Arabidopsis thaliana: one gene and its partners. The protein of the gene in region 3 interacts with the protein of the main gene of each other region in a pairwise test. Each region holds a gene or a part of one and is shown on either strand. Other genes may lie near its edges. The genes, in order: AT1G78140, AT3G29270 and AT3G18570.

What was found.
Region 1: the proteins of AT3G18570 (region 3) and AT1G78140 interact in a two-hybrid assay, tested with the Arabidopsis thaliana proteins (one large-scale study listed by BioGRID).
Region 2: the proteins of AT3G18570 (region 3) and AT3G29270 interact in a two-hybrid assay, tested with the Arabidopsis thaliana proteins (one large-scale study listed by BioGRID).

The regions. Positions count from the first base shown.
Region 1 is NC_003070.9:29,401,137-29,405,877, forward strand, and holds AT1G78140 (S-adenosyl-L-methionine-dependent methyltransferases superfamily protein), read right to left. Parts: upstream 2,890-4,741; 5' UTR 2,743-2,889; coding exon 2,569-2,742; intron 2,377-2,568; coding exon 2,267-2,376; intron 2,154-2,266; coding exon 2,010-2,153; intron 1,924-2,009; coding exon 1,842-1,923; intron 1,653-1,841; coding exon 1,456-1,652; intron 1,367-1,455; coding exon 1,255-1,366; intron 1,171-1,254; coding exon 1,063-1,170; intron 942-1,062; coding exon 801-941; 3' UTR 679-800; downstream 1-678. Other genes in the region: UNE2 (Major facilitator superfamily protein), read left to right, coding at 1-162, 249-678; AT1G78150 (N-lysine methyltransferase), read left to right, coding at 3,860-3,982, 4,078-4,151, 4,330-4,516, 4,595-4,741.
Region 2 is NC_003074.8:11,232,497-11,237,008, reverse strand, and holds AT3G29270 (RING/U-box superfamily protein), read right to left. Parts: upstream 2,837-4,512; 5' UTR 2,669-2,836; exon of another isoform or gene 1,772-2,668; 5' UTR 1,684-1,771; coding exon 892-1,683; 3' UTR 551-891; downstream 1-550. Other genes in the region: AT3G29280 (uncharacterized protein), read left to right, coding at 1-145, 237-304.
Region 3 is NC_003074.8:6,395,162-6,398,465, reverse strand, and holds AT3G18570 (Oleosin family protein), read left to right. Parts: upstream 1-1,841; 5' UTR 1,842-1,893; coding exon 1,894-2,394; 3' UTR 2,395-2,676; downstream 2,677-3,304. Other genes in the region: AT3G18580 (Nucleic acid-binding, OB-fold-like protein), read left to right, coding at 398-643, 828-1,054, 1,257-1,357, 1,447-1,526.

The DNA of each region.
Region 1 (4,741 bases), on a different chromosome or scaffold from region 3:
CGGAAGAATCATTCTCGCGCAGATTAGTTCAGCCTCAGCGATCCCGCTCGCTGCAATTCTCTTGTTGGTCTTACCAGATGATCCATCTACAGCTGCAATCCATGGTCTGATCTTAGTCCTATTGGGGCTATTTGTTTCTTGGAATGCTCCTGCTACCAACAAGTAAAGTTTCTCTCTTTACTATGCCTAAAGACTTTATATCTCTCTATCGTTTAACTGTTTTTGCTGACCTGGTGAAACAAACGCAGCCCAATCTTCGCAGAGATCGTTCCAGAGAAATCAAGAACAAGCGTCTACGCACTGGACAAATCGTTTGAGTCTATCTTGTCATCGTTTGCACCTCCTATAGTTGGAATCCTGGCACAACATGTTTATGGATACAAGCCAATCCCTGAAGGGTCATCGAGGTCAACAGAGATAGCCACAGATAGAGAGAATGCAGCATCTCTGGCAAAAGCTCTTTATACATCTATAGGACTCCCAATGGCGGCTTGCTGCTTCATATACTCCTTTCTTTACCGTTCCTATCCTCTAGACAGAGATCGTGCTCGGATGGAAGCTTTTATAGATTCTGAGATGCGTGAACTTCTTCCAGAAAGTTCCAATCGAGACATTGAGTTTTCACAAGAAGAAGACCCCTTTGCAAACCATGTTAACCCCAATTTACAAGCTAGATAATAGGAACATTTGCAAAAAGCTTTACAAATTAGGTATACTGTATGGAACTCAAGTTGTTATAATGTTTATAACTTTATACCAATTTTTTACAGAAAAGTATATATACTTTAAAGAGGGTGAGCTTAGCTGGGTTTTGTTGCAGATAGCATTATAAATGGCCCGTTTCTAACACGAGTGAAGTTAACGAGACCACAGGCTTTGCAGATATCTTCAAGCTCACGTTCATTTAGGAAAATGTGAGAACCTGAATATCTCATTATTTCCTACAATATTATGAATGACCAGAATGCATAATCAGCCATAGACCACCTCAGGGAGCAAAAGAGAAGAAAATGCAAGACATGAATGAAAGTTTTAAGGCTTAGAAGTAACTTATACACACACCTGACGAAGATTCTTCAAGAAGGGGATAAAACTGAATGGACCGTCATAGATAAATGTGGTGGCCACAAATACTCCTCCAGGTCTAAGAACACGGCTTATCTCAGCAACCTAGAAGATCCAAGGGAAAATAAACACAATGTATCATTGTATGTGTTGTTTTTGTAAAATGTTGAATTAGGAGAAAAGCTTTACGGCTGAGGATGGTGAAGGCCAGCAATGCAGAGCAGCACCAGCATGGACAGCGTCAACTGAACCCGAAAGGAAAGGGAGTCTAGCAATGTCAGCTCGGACTAGAACAAGTTTCCTGGAAACGAGACAGCAGGAGTAAAAATAACACATCTGGTAACCCAAGATCTAAAGACAATAAAGAAAGCAAAAGGTGAAAGTACAAACTCTTTGTTGGGAAAGTTTTCTTCTTTATTTAAGAGTTCATAGCATTGTCGCAGCATATTCTCTGAGTAATCTAGAGCAATAACCAGAGAAAATAGATCACTTCTAGTGAATAACCTCGAGAACATCCCACTTCCACAACTAGCATCAATGATATTGCCTCCCAAAACAGGCTTCAGATAGGCCTTAGCCATTTCAAACTGTGGAATGCAACTTTATCAGTGTTCTTAAATTTTTGGTTCATGTATTGCTAATCAATGTAAGCTTCATTATGTTAAGTGAAATATACTAAATGGGACAAACAATCAGAAATTTGACGCATTTCCTGAAAGATAATTGCCGCCAAAGAAGAGGCCTTTGAATATTGAGATAGGTTTTTTTTGTCTCACCTCTTTCTCTGGTCCTGGAAAACCTCCCCATATGAAATTCTGACGCCAACCCCTCTCATAGAGAAACGAGACCAGTGGAGTCCTATAAAAAAACAATTCCAAAAAAATCTCAGTTTCCACATAGAAGACAGGACATTGACAAAGAATCCAATGAAGCATATCATCTACCTAAATAACTCAGTGGAAAGAGGCATCGGTTCACTGTATCTCTTGCTTCCACTAGCAACAGCCAAATCAAGATGCGTCTCATTACCCGAGTAACTCCTTTTACATGTATTGCATTGTACTTGAATACCAGAGGCAGCAGATTCTCTGTAAAATACAAAACTTCGATAACTTGCCTCTCAAGAAAATTGGAACATTCACTTATTCTCTCAATCCAATTTCTGAACAAACGATAAAAATTAGTGAAAAGTAAAACTCACATTAATCCATTAGGTTGACTAATCCATGCTAAGGAGTTATAACAGATGGGACAAGCTAGAATCTTCTTCTCTCCTCTGTTCTTATCCTTCTTCTCGATAACAAAATCCACCTGCACACCAATCAAATTGAATCATCTGATATTCGAGATCATCAAGCAAAATCAAATTCACAACAAAGTAGTATCAAATACACGTAAAACTCAAACAAAAAACTAATTATGATTTCTTTCGGGAATATCATGATAACATATACAAGTAGAATCTGTTCCTACAAAAAGTTGGAGAAGAACTAAGGCACGTACATTCGAATTCGAATTTGTCTCAACGGAGACGGAGGCTGAAGAGGCGTGAGCTGATCTGGAAACGAAAACAACCCGTCTTTGAGCGGCGTACTTGACGGAATGCAACCGCGACAAGGAAAAGCAAGTAGGGAGCAACGCCGTTGAGAATCGACCGGAAACAACCGTCATCGGCATTTTTCAGGCTCGCCTCCGTGGCAGCCTATTGAGCACGAAGCTTTATTAAAGGCAAAGAAAGAAATCACACAAAATGCGTGGAAACAAGTTTTAAAATGGTAAAACTTAACAATTTTGGAATTTGTGAAAGAGAAGCCTTTATTATGGTCTTTGATGGATCCTCAAATAAAGGCCCAAACATTGTTCAATATAATTGGTTTGGGTCTAGGTTTTGGGCCTAGTGGTTTCTTCATTTTCTTGTCAACAACAACATAAAGCTTCGAATTAAACGTTTTGGGCTTAGTAGATTACATGTTTTTTAATCTAGATTAACTAATTAATCAAATTACTGTGTATATTCCTGTCTAACCACAATTTATTTGGACGCATGTTCTTTTAAGGATCCGTGTAAAAAACTGCATATCTCCGTGACAATTTGAATTTACTAATTTAGTTTTCGTTACGAAGAATCAGGATTAAAGATTGCGGAAAATAATTAAGTTTAGTTATGAAGGCCTAATTGAGAGGATAAAATCACGGCTTTTGAAATAATTACACTTTTAATCAAATTACATGTTGTATGCTAAATGGCTAATAAAAGGTTGGCATCACGTGATCACACTGCTTAAATAAAACGTTGGTAAAAGTCTTTATTAGTTTTGATGGCTTCACATGGTCTTGTGTCAGAAAAAAAAAGAGAAGAATATGATTGACCATAATTCTATCTAATGCGCTTCAATTATTATTTTTTCCCTAATAACAACTTTTTTTACATTCTAAAATATTAATCCCAATTCCTTACAAGAAGAAAAGTATTCGAATATTCCCGTTAAACGCCAACAAATTATACTACTAATCACAACAATTTTCTGATTAGAAAATCTGATTTTGAATTTAATGATCATGACCACTTGTTAAATCACACGTGGCAGCGTAGAGAAGAAGCTTCCAGATCAAAATGAGATTTACGAACAAAGTAAAGGGTAATAGAGTCAATTAACACAATCGATTAATCTTAAACCAAGTGGGAAGAAGAAGCTGAAAAGAGAGAGACTAATCTTCTTCTTCTTCTTCCTCTCTGTATTTTTCTCATTCTCTTCGATTTGTTTGCTTGCTAGTGACTAGTGAGTGAGAGAGTATGGAGAGAAGTACTCCGGTGAGAAAGCCACACACATCGACCGCAGATCTACTTACTTGGTCGGAAGTTCCACCGCCGGATTCTCCTTCCTCCGCTTCTCGCTCCGCCGTTCGTTCCCACCAGGTACTTGCACCGTTTCGAAATTCATGAAATTTCACTTTGATTTTGATCAATCTGGTAATAGTATTTGTTTCAATTTTGGTTTAATGTGTTTGTAGCCATCGGATGGGATTAGCAAAGTGGTGTTTGGTGGTCAAGTCACCGATGAAGAAGTTGAGAGCTTGAACCGCAGGTTAAACTTACTTCCTTATCACTATTTCATTTCCAATTCGATTTCTTTGAAAATTAGTTTCCAATTTTGTCCATATATCTGAAAGTTGAAAACTTTTTGTGAATTGAATTCATACTCTGTTTATGCCATCAAAAGTTAGATCATAGAGAGTAATCTTCAAGTGTGACTTGTATTTAAGGATTCTTGATGATGCATTTGACAGCTTCATGAGATTGGTTATTTATACTAATGTCAAAACTTGTGAAAATGTTTATGATGTCATTAGGAAGCCTTGCTCAGAACATAAAATGAAGGAGATAACTGGCAGTGGGATCTTTTCTCGTAACGAAAAAGATGATGCGTCAGAGCCATTACCAGTTTATCAGGTACCAGTTTGTGTAGAGAGTGAGACTTGTTCCGTTATGTTATTAGTCATATTACTGAAACTCTTGATTATCTTTCAGCAAGCAGTTAATGGTATAAGCCAGATATCATTTGGTGAAGAGGAAAATCTATCTCCTAAAAAGCCGGCTACTGTACCTGAAGTGGCGAAACAGCGAGAGCTCAGTGGGACTATGGAGAATGAATCAGCTAATAAGCTACAGAAGCAG
Region 2 (4,512 bases), 4.8 Mb from region 3:
GAAGATGTGATAGGATTAGTCGAAGAAAAACACGGGAAGAAGAAAGTATCGGTTTCGTTCGAGTGTGAGACATTGAAGGCAGATGAAGCAGCAGAGGACCATATCAGACAGTTTATGCCCAAATTAGCTGGACTTGATGCTGTTAGTAAGTAAAACCAACACTTTATTCTTGTGCCATTCTCATTACATTTATGTTGTCTTGTTTTGTTGAATCAACACACCGGGGTTTTTGCCAGTTAACATTGGACCGATGAAGATTTCCGGGCTTGATTTTGCTGCGGTGGAAGAGGGACACATAAACTAAGACAGCTTAACTCTTTCTTTTTGTGTATACATCATATTTGAATGCTCTTTGAGTCTTTGTTTCATATCGTAGAACACAATTAACGCTTTAAGCTCAAATGATCTAGACTAGAACTCATAGAAAACATAAAAGAGAAATAACCGAACCGAAACCAAACCGAAAAGCCGTACACCCACCCCTAATTTTGGGTGTCATCTTTTGCTTTCTTCTATGGAAATGGGTGGAACAAACAAACAAAAGAAAAAAAAACCCATACAATTTAGTCATTATATATAAGAAAAATCAATGCATTTAGTTACGCAATTCCTAAATAACATTGCATAAACTTTATATACATAAATCTTATTGAGACACTCAAACACTCACAAACAAATCCACAAATACTAATAAGTTTCTGCAAGAGCCCTTACAACACATACGTCCAGCTTCGTAGAGCAACAATGCAATCCAAAACTACATCCATATATAGATAAAGAAGACGGTAATTACGAAATTGTTATACTTACATGACCGATCTTGGGTCTCAGTTGTTGAAGAAAAGTCGTCAAATTAGGAATGGGAAGTTTCTGAACGCATCCTTAGAAAGTTCATGTGACAATCTCTCGAACAAGCCAGTCGAGACAAGGATAAGCGAAGTAGAGGATGAGAAACGACGGTAGAGCCAGCAAGAGAGTGACTAGAATGTACATCGCCAATATGGCTGCACTGGTCGGTATTGCATAGAGTATTATCAGCAGAAATATGACAACTAATGGGAACTTTGCTGTCAACTGGACAAAGAAAACCAGAGACTTCCTCAGTGAAGTTTGTATGTTGTCCCTTGGAATGCGATGATCATTAACAGAACGTGATGGTTCAGGTTGACTGCGATGATGGCGATTGTGGAGACATGGAGATGGAGTTTCCCTTGTATGATCATTGTTTCCATCTGTTTGAGCTCCACCAGGTGAGTTACGTCTCTCTCCATTCATCCTCTCGACCATCCAAAGCACAAAGTAGTTCTTGTGAGGGAATCTGAGTGTTCCTCTGAAGACCAGACGGAAAGACAAAAGGTTGCACCAGGGGCATGAAATGAAGAGAGGAAGCTGAACCGGGTGAGTAGGCAATTTCACAATAGCCCATTGAAGTCCCAAAATGCAGTTTTTACACATCGTATGTCCACACCATAACACATACGGAACGTTTTCAACTATATTAAATGATTCCCAGCATATAGGACACTCGAGACCTTCGTCTTTACTACCTACAGAAGATACATCGTCATCTGAACACTCCGCATGAGCATGGACCGGTCTTCTGATATCGTTTTTCGGTCCAATGTTTCCCGTAAGATAACTCGATGCTAGATTCCACATTCTAGTATCAGGGATGGATAACATGAATACCTTGTTTGTCACTAAGACCTAACCAGTTCTGCTAATACTTAACTCTCTGACCTTCATGAACACCGAACTCGATGCTTCATCGCTTCATAAGCAAAGAGAAAACACATATTAATCCTTCAAAGACAATCCCAACGACACACCGATGCAATTCCAACTAAGAATCAACTAATAAGATTAAGTGCTACATTGAGCAACCATGGTAACACAAATCATTAAGAACCTACTATACAGCAAGATTCAATTTTTATGATCAGAATCGATATTCGAACGCTTTAACTTGTATTAGAGCTCAAAGCTCGACAATTTCATCGATAAAGGGGACTCTTTTATCTTTGAGCCAAGTTTACTCACCGATGCAATTCTAACTAAGAATCAACTAAGATTAAGTGCTACATTGAGCAACCATGGCAACACAAATGATTAAGCAACTACTATATAGCAAGATTCAATTTTTATGATCAGAATCGATTATTCGAACGCTTTAACTTGTATTAGAGCTCAAAGCTCGATCATTTCAGCGATAAAGGGGACTCTTTTATCTTTGAGCTAAATTTACTCACAGATGCAATTCTATATCAGTAGCAACCAACTAATAAGACCAAGATTTAGTGATACATTAAGCAACCATAGCAACACAAATGATTAAGAAAACCCTAAATAGAAAGTTTCAATTTTTATACTCAGAATCGAAATCAGACTCTCAGACTTGTATTAGACCTAAAGCTCAATCATTTTCAGCAATAAAGATGATTCCTTTATCTCAAAGGTTATGACTTTATCCGATACAGAAGATCCCAATATAAGATTAAAGGAAGAAAGAGAAAACCCTAAAATCAAAATCACTAAATGAGATAATTGATCACAGAATTAAGCAGCTAACGAAGTAATCGAACCTAGATAGATAATTGAAAGGACAGAGCAATCAAATGGTTCACAATAACCGAAACTAAATCAGAGTGATTTAGATAAAGATTCGTACCGATTCGACTCTGCTCTGAGCTTTTTGTTTCGTACGTGAAAGAAGAAGATGCTTGATTCGATTTTTCCGGCGAGACCTAAACTTTCTGGGTTTTGTTTTGCTTTCATAAACGACGTCGTTTCAATCGTGTACCCAAGTTTTCCTTCCAAAAGTGTTTTTGATATTTTCTAACGTAAAAACTTGGTTAGTTGTTTTTTTATAAACATAATAACATTACCAACCAAAACATTTACGCTTATTGAAGATTAAGTAAACCTCTGAAAAAATAAAACACAGAGCGGTTAATTTTATTAATATAATTTAATAGAATTTTGTATTATAAGTTATTTATCAATTCAATTTTTTTAATATTTTAAAAAGAATAATAATAAATATATTAAAAAGAAGAAATATGAGAAAAAGAACAATCACGAAAGAAAAATAATAATAAAAGAAACTTTACGTTGTTTTTTTTTTATCTATATGAGTGTATATAGATAAAATGCAAATGGACTTAATATGTAAATATTTCTTTAATTTTTGCAACATTCTTCTCGTCCAGAGTTCATTTGTCATTTATCTCTTTGCGATATCTTTCATGTTGTCTCGTTAAAACTTTTCTAATAAAATCCATTGGTAGAAACCACAGTAAGGTAAAAAAGTATAATCATACAAGCTCTCCCTCGAATGACTATGGACATGGGGTGCAGGATGTTCGACATTTTTTCTTGTTACCATGTAATAATCATTGAATGCTTGAGACGTAAATTCACCAACGTTATCTAATCTAACTCCTTTGATTGGATAATCAGGAAACTCAGCTCTTAGTTTTGATTATCTGAGTTAGAAATCTCGCAAATACCACATTTCAAGATGATAACAAACAAACATGTGACCATCTACTAGACATGTCTATCATTACCATGAAATAATATAATGGTATACATGGTGGGTGTATAGGTTCACAAATGTCGCATTTGACTCGTTCAAGGAATTTTGGTAATTCTTTATCGATTTTGCTTGTCGATGGCCTTATAATCAATTTTCCAAGAGAAAACGTAACACATGTCCTTTTATTTTCTTGATAAAACTCTTAGGGTTTCATTGAATGTCCATGTGAGCTTTTTATAATTTTTTGCATCATCGTGGTGCCTGGGTGACCAAGGCGATCGTGCCACAATGTGAAATCATCATGATCTCTTTTGATAACAAGATGTGATCCTATTGAATTAATGTATGTATGATGCAATCCTGATGGGAGTCTTGGTAATTTTTCCAAAACGTGTCTTTTTCCCAATTTTTCAGAAGTGATATACATGTACTTTTTTTCATTCTCACTTGCACACTGAGTGTCATATCCATGAAGGTATATATCTTTGAAACTCAACAAATTTCTTTTTGAATTTGGTAAAAATAATGCATTATTTATCGAGAACTTTGTCCCGTTAAGTAATGCAAAATTTGTTTTACCGGTCCATTCAATTAAGTCTATGGGACCTGATATTGTGTTAACAATAACTTTTGTTGATTTCAAATGAGAGAATTTTTTTTTTTGTTTTAGAATAGTGTGTGTTGTTCCACTATTCGGTATGCAAATATCTCTAAGGTTTGCCTTGGATACCATTCCATTTGTAATGTGATCCATTTCTGAAATAAACATAATCGATTAAGGTAAGTAGAAAATAAATTTATTAATCAAGCATATAACACCCGATAATTATACATGATAGGTAACACAAGCACACAATAATTACACATGATAGGTAATACAAACACACAAACTTAGGAAATTTCAAGCAAGCGTCGATTTATTTATGACATATTAATTCGAGCCCCACACGATAGAAATTTCAGTTTTCCACAAG
Region 3 (3,304 bases):
AGATATTTTGTCGAAAACAACATGACTTGAAGTTGTAAAGGAATATCAGAATTGTGGGATATTTTTGCTTGTTATTTTGAATTACAAAATTTATGTAGACGATGTGTATTCCAAAAGAATTGTTAAATGCTTATTAACGGATACATAGGACTATGAGTTGTATTTTTGGTGACGACAAAAGCAAATTTCTTCTTCTTATTGACCATTTCAGCATGTGGGTTGAAATTGTCATTTAAGAGAGTTTTGGTAAAAAGTATTAGATTTGAAATAATTGAGGCACTTTATTCCAAAATATTCTAATCACTTTCTCCGCTCTTTAGCCCTTTAGGGTTTATGACGTTAAACCCAGAATCCAACATTTGACGATTCGATTCGAAAATCTCAGTGAAGATCGAAAATGGCGAATTCAATGGCTACACTTTCTAGAAGACTCTATCGATCTCTTCTATCGAACCCTAGAATTTCTCAAGCTTCCATGTCTTTCTGTACCAACAACATCACTTCCCCAGAAGACTCCGACTTTGACGAGTTAGAATCGCCCATTGAACCAAAGGCCTCAGATCCAGTTTCTCGATTTTCCGGAGAAGAACGCGTTATGGAAGAGCGTCCACTCGAAAATGGCCTTGACTCTGGCATTTTCAAGGTATCAAACTTAGATTCTAATTCCAATTGATACATACTCTGTTTTTGTTGTTTTTCTTAAATCGATCGTTGCAATTTTGCCTTTTGTATGATCTTTGTTGAGTCATTTTGTGAACATCATTAGATTCTCGTTCTGGATAGGTTAATAATTAGTGTGTTCTAGACTAATTTCTGGTTTAATACAGGCAATATTGGTGGGGCAAGTGGGTCAGCTTCCTCTGCAGAAGAAGCTTAAGAGTGGTAGAACTGTCACTCTCTTCTCTGTAGGAACTGGTGGGATCAGGAACAACCGGAGACCGCTTATTAACGAAGATCCGAGAGAGTATGCGAGCCGGTCTGCGGTGCAGTGGCACCGTGTCTCTGTTTACCCTGAACGCTTGGCAGATCTTGTGTTGAAGAATGTTGAACCCGGGTTAGTTCTCTTCTGAGATCATATTTAGCTTGTAAGGTTATGTGATGATAGAATAAGGAACAAATGTATGTATCATGTCTGATATCGATCAAGAATCGGTGAAAAAGGATGAAACTTTAGGTGAATCTTGCTTGCTAGATTCAAAATGGTAGCTTGCTTTTGTGTATGTGTCATAACAACTTGTTTCGTGTTCATTCAACAGTACTGTTATCTACTTAGAGGGTAATCTGGAGACGAAGATATTCACTGATCCTGTCACTGGTTTGGTTCGACGTATAAGAGAAGTAGCAATTCGTAGAAACGGTACTAATGGCTCAACCCCTAAAACTCCATTTCTTACATATTTCATTGGGAAACAATTAAATATTGATCTCTGTTTTCTCTCCTTACAGGCCGAGTTGTGTTTTTGGGAAAAGCCGGTGATATGCAGCAACCGAGTTCTGCTGAGCTTAGAGGCGTTGGCTACTACTGATTTTTAACATACAAAAAATTGTTGTCATAAAGGTACACAATTTGCTATTGTAGTATTTCTAGTTTCGCTTCTGTTGTCTCTTCTTGTAACTTGAAGGTTTGGTTTAGTGTTCTTCAATTGGCATTGGCCCTTTTCCATGGTTTTCGGCAAATAAACCCAAACCAAACCCAATCAATACGATTTAGACTAAACCGAATCTAAACCAAAATCTCGATTTTAGACAAAGTGAAAACCAAGACCAATCTCCACGTGTTTACAAACATTGCATGAATGCCACCTCAAAGCTGAATCTGTCCTCCATTTGTTTTACCCTTCCTCATTCTGTTCTCTGTCACACACACACACAAAACAACAATCGCTCTCTACAATGGCGGAAAGGTTCTCTAGCGGCGAGGCCCAATATTGGCCCAATTATGGTAGCACCGCCACCACCACCGTTAGCAACAGCCCCATCTCGTCGTTTTTCCATCAGCTCCGATCCCATTCACCAACATCCTCGCAGCTCTTTGGTTTCCTCGCTCTCTTTATCTCCACTGGCATCCTCCTCTTCCTCCTTGGTGTAAGCGTCACCGCTGCCGTGCTCGGCTTCATTGTCTTTCTTCCATTGATCATCATCTCGAGTCCGATATGGATTCCCGTTTTTGTCGTCGTTGGCGGGTTCTTAACGGTCTCCGGATTTCTTGTCGGAACGGTGGCTTTAGTGTCGTGGACGTACCGCTATTTCCGGGGAATGCACCCGGTTGGATCGAATCAGATGGATTATGCACGTAGTAGGATCTATGACACGGCATCTCACGTCAAAGATTACGCTAGAGAATACGGTGGTTACTTCCATGGCAGGGCTAAAGATGCGGCCCCTGGTGCTTGACCTGAACCGGTTGGTATAGTCTGGTTCAGGGTAGTATTAACCGATCACGGTTCGATTTATGGAGGAGGAACACGGTTCATGGTAATATTACATTTTCTTATTTTGTTTCCGTTTATACTTTATAAGATGAAGAAGAATATCTATCTAGTTATGTGTAATGTAAGCTTTGTGTCCGTCGCTTGAAATGTAATATTTCATTTTGTTTTTAAGTTTTTTTTCTATACATTTTTGGAGAGATACTTATATTATAATCAAATGTCTTCCGTTGTGTTTGAATTCGAAGAAACAATGAGAGTAAATAACTACCATTTTTTTCTATCTTCATTGCTTATTTCAGACGATATGGAAGAGCATGTTACATCCTTTTTGTGTTCTTTTTCTAATAATGAAAATTCCTTATTATAAATAGTCATGTTCAAAGTTTGGAAAAAAAAAATCCAATAAGAACCTTTTACAGTTAAAACCAATGACTTAATAACCCTCTTTATACGTTTTATACTTTTATGAACACGAGAATTGTCTATTTTTGTATTAATTAACACTGGACTGAAATCTAAAGAGAGAATACGGTGTCGGATGCAAACATGTTTATTAGTGAAAAAGGAAAGGATTGTAAAATGTTGGTAAGATTAAAAAATTATGTCCACTGGTAATTGGTTTGACAGGTTGCAAAGATTCCAAACTATTAAGAAAATCTTAATTCGAATGTTTACCGTTTATAGTAGCTAAATTAATGATTCACTGTGGGTTGATGCATGCACTGAGATAATTTATTATTGTAGCAGAACCTACTTTACCCTTTGTAGCTACTAGCTAGTAATCTACTATTACATTGGAAGAACCAGTCATTGAAGATTTAGAAGAGGCATACAATGGTTACATGCTCGAACGTGACATGAGGGATAAAAAC